Linked DNA regions of Coturnix japonica. The protein of the gene in region 1 purifies or fractionates together with the protein of each later gene. This does not show direct contact. Links are inferred from orthologs where the notes say so. Each region holds a gene or a part of one and is shown on either strand. Other genes may lie near its edges.

Region 1 (3,291 bases):
TTTTGGCTAGTATTTCTGAGGGAGAAAGCTGACAATGAATCAGAAACCAAGGGACCTGACCCAAAGGCAGCTGGATGGGAGGCATTTAGATCCACCTCTTAGACTGAAAGCTGCTGTGCCTGCACTGCAGGAGGAGAGAAAAAGAGAGAATTTCCTTTTACAAGCGCACAGCAGGTCCTGGAGCCAAGGACTGAGAATGTGCAGATGGCAAAGAACTCCACAGCATTTAGTGGACGGCACGTGCATTGCACAAAGTAAATGCAGGACTGGAGTGCTGTCACAGCTGTCTGCTTCAACAGCCCCCCTTCCCGCTCCTGGAAAACCTTTATTTATTTATTTTTTACAACACTGACTGAAATAAAACACTTCAGTTTGTGAGACCCAGAGAAAGGAACCCAGCTGCCAACGATGGAGCAAAACTTCAAACCTCCTATTATCAGGCAGCAACGGTGTTTAGGCTCAGGACTCTGGGCTCAGTTACTGGCTTTGCCACAGATCCTTCCACACAAACTTGGACAAAGATGAAGCACTGACAGAACAGGAACAGTAATTCTCTGTTTCCCAGATGCGTCAGGGAGAGATTAGTCAGACCTTCTGATAACGTAGCATCAGGAATCAAGTAAAGGCTCGTGTGAACAAATGCTAAAGCAGTCTCAAAGCCAAGACTCTGAACTCTGACATTAAATCAGCATTTTTAATTTTTTCTAAAATGTGCTTTTTTCTTGTGAATTGCTGTTTCACTGCCGGCCCCATCCTCCCCCTTAGAAAAAAAACCCAACCCATTCCTCACCAAATCAGGTGCAAATCACCTGAAGTTAGACTGTAACATATAAAAAAAAAATAACCCACAAAACAAAGGCTGAAATGCTTCAGAATCACAACAATGTACAAAAAAAAAAAAAAAAAGAAATAAAAAAAAGAAGAAAATACAACCTGAAAGTGTTCAAGATTCAGAAAGACTAGTCAAGTCCATTGGTTCAGCAAGGGGATACTGCTGTGACCCCTGCCAGTGGGTCCTGGGCCACCAGCCTGCCACAATGCTAAAGGGGCTCTTCTCCCACGCAGACCACTGTCACTAGCACCCAAGGAAGAGCAAATGCATTACCCTCTGGAGGTATCAACGGGGGAACAACTCACAAGCAGCTCTGAGAGGTGACATCACATTCCAAAGGAGCACTGTTTTTACTGTGTCCCTAACCATCTGTAAGAAGGAAGGCTTGGAAGAGCAGCCTGCTTCCTCCTTTCTGTATTGAGGCCTCAGGGATGCAGACCAGTGCGTTAAATCTGCAAGAGATTGAAGGGCTTAGTAAGGGCAGTAAACAGACAGTTAAGTAAACAGCCCAGCACTGAATCTCATCCTCACAGAGCGAGGTAGCGTGAATTTTACCCCAGTTCAAAACAGACAGGGGTAGTGGAAAGGCTGAAAACTTCAATGTAAAGCAGTTCATGGCCTAGAAACCTTTCTGTGCTCCCTCTGGGAATGAAAAGATCTGTGTTGGTGGCTTCCTCACTCCCAGCCTGGCTTTATTAGCCACACTTCAGCCCTGGGATTCACTCTTGACACAGAAGTCATCCCAAGATCTGATTTAGTACAGCAGCTTCCTAAAGGTTAAGCAGCAATGAAACTGGCTGAGAGGGAGCAAAACTGTCCACAGATTTTTTTACTGCCCCATTGTGCCAGTCCCTCTCTTCAAAAGTCCCTCTTTAAAGGACCAGAACAGAGACACCCTCATTAACGAATAGGGGCTGCACAGTGTAACTTTGCCAGGTGCTGCATTCAAACAGGGCTTTTATTTGCCAGCCTGGAAGGGACTGGCCCAGAACCCACTGGAAAAGGAGACACAGGCCCTTTTTTGCTCCTCCTGCTGTCATTCCTAGCTGAATGACATTTGGATGGTATGTTCTAGTGACGGCTGGAGACCAGCCCTTTAACTTTGGACATCTTCTTTGTGGACTGCCTTTGTTCTGTGTGTGGAGGGCACTCTCGCTCTACCAGCTGCTGTTCCATCTCCTGTGCAGACGACGAGGCTGTAGCTTTTAATGTTTTCTTTATGTTTGTGACCTGGCCAAGAAGAGACAGTGAGTCAGCACCAGCTTCCTTCTCTCTTTGCATTAGAAACTCTGTTCATAAACATACTGAAAATCCCTTGGAGTGCAGACTGAAGTCTATCAAAAACTTTCCCAACAAAAACAGACTGCATTTGAGTCTTAAGGGGCAACGTTTTGTGCTCACTTAAAGCCAGCATTCTTGTAATCCATACTGGACTCAGACTGGAAATAACTAGAGATTACCTACTTCTTTTATGAGACAAAAATACAATACTATTCTATCTTCTTGGTTGGACAAAGGGAGCTACTACTGCCTTTCTGCAGAAGGCAGCCATCTTACCACTAGGCTGGCCAGAAGCAGCAGGGACAAAGTAGTCAGTGAGAAACAAACATATGCTTCCAGGAGCACTCAAAAAGAAAAAGGAAAAATGCCACTTGATCTGTCTGGCTGAGCCATGGATATTTGCTAGAAGCAGGAACATGAACTGGTCTGTGGGAGGGAAGAGTAGCGCTCCCACGACTCTGGCTGAAAAGGAGAGACAAAGCACCAGGCAACATACCTTGTCTCATAAAATTCTGTAGTGCTCACCAGTAATACAGTCAGCAAGCACTAAAAACAGAAAAGGAAAAAAAGGAGGAAAAAAAAGGCCCAAACAAGTTTGGGAGTCAGGTGCACCAACTCCAGGCTAAAGGCATCTGGCAAACCAAAAGCACTACGGATGCCAATCAAGCCGCCAAGCATGAACTGCTTCGGAAAGCAAACGTAAACCTGCAGGGATGCAGCACTATGCAAGAAATAAACCCTCAGCGAGTGTCTCAGGAGGACCATTTTCACCTTTACAGCTGTATTAGCCAAGATTTGTTCTCACTAGTAAATACACATCAGCCAGGGCTGACATTGTGTGCTCGTGCTGCCATCTATGGTCTAAGAAGAGGTACAGCCTACAGTGGGAGCGCGCCCAGTCCACACTACTCTAGAGCCCTTGTGTGCAAAAGCAATGAGTCTCGAGAGATTTTTAGTTTTAGTGTGGTTTTCCTTCCTTACACAAAAAAGAGAGAACTATATGCAAGGTCTGTATCACAAGGGCTCTTTCCCTAATCAGTCAGTCGAGGGAAGTACAAGCACCCACCTGGCCCATTTTTATACAGAAAAGTTTCAACCCACTTAGAGTGGGTCTTTGTGGTGTTATTAGCACAAGGAAAAGGATTTCTATTTTTCCTACCCCAGAACAGTATATCTGA
Region 2 (3,909 bases), on another chromosome or scaffold:
ACAGGACAAGGGGCTTCCCAAAAAGCACCAGCTCAATGCAAACAACAAAGCATCCTGAGATTGTACAACACAACACCTCTGATATGGAAAGCTGCTCCCAGCTCACACAGGTCCATGTCTTTGCTCATTAACTCCACTTGCCAGCAGCATTTCTCAGCTTTCAAGCACACAGAAAAACAACATCCATATGAGTAAATAAAATCTACCTTGAGCCTCTGAACTAATCATTTCTGCCATCCACACCTTTGTTACATGCCCAAAGGGCACAGAAAAAAATGCTTCATGCTCCCCAAGAGTTTGTGCAAGGCCGAGGCAGGATCTCCTGCAACCTGCAGGGACAGCTTCCCTCCCCATAACAATTTTTCATGTTCCAGCTAAAAATGAGACACACTGCTCCAGCAGGCCAAAGTCCAAGGCAGGAAGATCAGAGTGCTCATATTATACCATAACCAAGGGAAATGAAGGAAAACCTTGGAGCTTTCTAAGATTATCTCACTTCAAGCACATAATGGGTCTAAAGAACTGATGATCATACAGTACACCCTGCAACACAGTTAAAACATAAGAATGCTGCCCTATTGACAGGTACTCAGCACTGCTGGTGCCTCCTCAAGGCAATCAAAGAAACATGGCACTGCAAAGGGAGGCAACAAAAAAATCTACCCCCAGCAGCACTGCTGCAGTTCCCATACAAAATATACAAGGATGGAAAGCTACAGCAGCCAAAAGCCTTTTCAAATACAAGAATCAAAGCAGTTCCTGCTGTGCTTGCTTTTCCCCCCCCCCAAGTATTCTACCTTAAGTCACAGCGAAGTGCCCTGCAGAAAGGCCAAAGCCAGAAATTGGATGAACTGAATTGCAAATGGCACAAATCCTCCTGCTCTGCCAGCCAGGAAACCCTGCAGGGATCTCCCTTGGAGAACCTGGTGAATACACACAACCTCACACTGCTTTCCAGGAAGCAGCAGAACAGGGAGCATCTCTCTGATCGTGGATCTGAATCCATGACTTCTTCACTAAGTTTTGAATATTGTGCCCCACAACAGACTTTAGTTAATGTATCTGATAAGGTAGTGGTAGGAACACTTCATCTTTCCTGACACTGCTGCTGTCAAGACATCACATACAGCTCCAGTAGAACTGCTATGAACAAACCATGCAGGACCCACTCAAAGGATGGCACTTCAAAAGACTTTAAACCTCAGGAACAACTCCCTGCAAACACTTCCTCTAATAACCCACGTGCAATGTATTACTTCAGTACTAAGCACTAATCGGCATCCCCGCATCGTAACCAAGTGCTTTGCTGAGCACTTTCTTCTTCCAAACAAAGATGTAAAAGCCAGACAGAAAAGACAACCCCAGAGTCACTGAGACCCAGAAGCGCTCACAGTTCCTGCAGGCTCAGACAGCTCCACACAGCAAAGAAATACAAGTCCCAGGGAGCTCTGGCTACAAATCCCTAAGAGCAGAGCACAGCTCAGGCTGTTCAGCTTCACCTCTTGCTCCTCAGCACGTGTGAGTGTCACACTGAGCAGGTCACTCACATATTGATTGTGTTGCATTCTTGAAAAGGATTATGAGGCTCCGAACACACTGACTGCCATACAGACAAGCATTTTAAATACAGCTGAGAAGACGAAATAGATGAGAAGCAGAATGCAATAATATAATCCCAGATGAGACAAATTAGAAACTTAGGAATCAGAACCCAATTAAACACCCAGCAAGCAGATCAGCACATCCATACGCTCTTCATATATTTATCCTTTAACACGGGGAGTTCTTTACTTTGAAGGAAAATAGGAAAGAGTAATAACCTCCTGTTCACAGTTAGTGTTGAACAGCAGAGATGCTGTCAGCTGGTTGTCTGTACCTGTTGAGCCCCAAGCAACCGGAGGAGCCCAGCACAGCCCAGCTCGCTGTCAGCCCTGGGATGGAGCACAGCAGCAGCTTCCAGATCCCACAGCAGGGCAATAGGAGGCACCGCACTGTTAGGGCTGAGGGGGGCGGAGGGGAACCTTCATTTCCAACTTCACCCCTCCCGCAGCCCCCACTTGGTTGCTGTTACACAACGCATACCTTGAATCGCTTTAAATAAATAAATAAATGACCAGGAAAAGAAACGACATTAAGGCAATAATGGTCGCTGTTGTTCGTTTTTAAAGCTATATCGTCTCTTAACACCGGAGCACAGCACGCAGTTACTCAGCTCTCCCGGTTCCTCCCGTTCCAGGTCGGGCAGGCACAGCCCGCAGCCAACAGCGCCGTGCGGGCACCGGGCCCAGCACCAACGCGGAAGCGCCGCCGCCTCGATCCGCGGGCAGTAACGAGGCTCCTGCCGGCAGCCCCGGGACGGGAGCGGAACCGCCGGCCCAAGGAGCGGAGCGGAGCGGACAGGCCGCGGGGGCAGCGCGGTGCCCTCAGCCCCGCCGACACCGCGGACACCCGCTACCGCGGGGCGGGGCTCACACAGCGGCCCAACCGCCCGCGGCTCCCGCAGGCCCCGAGCCGACACCCGCCCTCCCGCCCGGCCCGGCCTAGAGGCCGCGGTCACCGGCCCGACTCCCACCAGCCCGACTCGGCCCACCCGTTGCCCCGTACCTGCCCGTTGCCCTGCTGGGTCGCCGCCGTTGCCGCCCCGGCCCTGAGCTCGGCCCCGCGGCGGCCGCGATGGCGATGGCGGGCACACAGTTTGCGCGTCAGCACGATGCGAGCGGCGGGGCGGGAGGAGCGAGCGGCGAGCGCAGGCCTCGCGCTAGGCCTCATGGGAAACGCAGTTCGCGCCGAGGGCATATCTGCGCATGCGTTATGTCAGCGCTGCCGCAGAGCATCATGGGAGTTGTAGTACTGTGGCGCCACCCACACGCCTACAACCGGAAGTGAGCATCGCCACAGCCCTCCGGGTGAAAAGGGAAAGACTGTAGTCTCGCGAGGTTTCTCTCCTTCCCGGAAGGGCCGGAAGGGGGAGCGCTTGCTTCCGGTCGCACTGCTTGTGACGTCACCGCGCCGGAAGTGCCGCCATATTGGAAAGGAGGCCGCGAGTGGAGCTGAGTGGGGAGCGCTTTATTTGGCCGCCAGACAGCGGCGGGGGCGGGTCGGCGTTGGCCGCGGGTTGTGGTTGTGCCTACGGCCGACCCCTGCCCGTTGTGCTGCGGCCTTACACCGCGGTGCCCCGGGCCTTGCTCATCCTGGATATCTTCCACACTCTGGCGAGGTCGCAGGCAGCTCGCACGGCGTCGAAGATATTGGCCGCCAGGTCCTGCTTGCTGCCGCTGATCTCCCTCTTTAACGCCGCCATCTCCTGCTCTAGCAGCGCCGCCCGCTCATTGAAGCCTCGCTGCAGCATCTCACCGTGCTCCCTCAGCTTCGCTTCCAGCGCCCTGTCCAGCTCCCGCTGCGCATTGGCCGCCTCCTCCCTCATCTTGGCTTCCAGCGCCTGCAGGTTCTGTGCGTGGCTGCAGCGTTCGTCCTCCAGCAGCGCCTGCAGCTGCTGTTCACGCTCCGCTGCCGCCTTTTGCTGCTGCTCCATGAGCTGGGCCTGCTGCTTCTGGTCTGGGGGCGAAGGGACGGAGTGAGGGGCACGGAGGATAAAGCAGAGCCTTCAGCTTCTAGTTCGGGGAGGGGATGCAGGGATGTGGTGAGGATAAAGAGACAATTTGTGGTGTCTCCGGGGCACACTGGAGCACCCCAAGAGATGTGGGCCCTCTGTGAGATGTCCCCAGGATAGAATGGGACTCCTCAAGAGATGGGGCCATCGTGAGATGTCCCTGGAGGGATACAAGCATTCCTGAAGTACATGAGGATGCCATGAGCTGGCCCCAGGGAACATGGAAACGCTATGAGATTCCCCTTGTCGCTGGAGGACACAGGGATGGTTGAGGAGGGGAGGAGAGAAAGGACAGCACT

Evidence for each region.
Region 2: the proteins of COPS7B (region 1) and DCAF1 purify together in Homo sapiens (affinity purification with mass spectrometry; 3 studies listed by BioGRID, with this or other methods). This does not show direct contact. The link is inferred for Coturnix japonica from reciprocal best matches to the Homo sapiens genes COPS7B and DCAF1.

What each region holds. Positions count from the first base shown.
Region 1 is NC_029524.1:13,414,580-13,417,870, reverse strand, and holds the end of COPS7B (COP9 signalosome complex subunit 7b), read right to left. Parts: intron 2,063-3,291; coding exon 1,904-2,062; 3' UTR 537-1,903; downstream 1-536. UniProt on the Homo sapiens protein: Component of the COP9 signalosome complex (CSN), a complex involved in various cellular and developmental processes.
Region 2 is NC_029527.1:1,257,889-1,261,797, forward strand, and holds the start of DCAF1 (DDB1- and CUL4-associated factor 1), read right to left. Parts: upstream 2,762-3,909; 5' UTR 2,605-2,761; intron 2,412-2,604; exon of another isoform or gene 2,083-2,411; intron 1-2,082. Other genes in the region: guanylate-binding protein 4-like, read right to left, coding at 3,161-3,555. UniProt on the Homo sapiens protein: Acts both as a substrate recognition component of E3 ubiquitin-protein ligase complexes and as an atypical serine/threonine-protein kinase, playing key roles in various processes such as cell cycle, telomerase regulation and histone modification.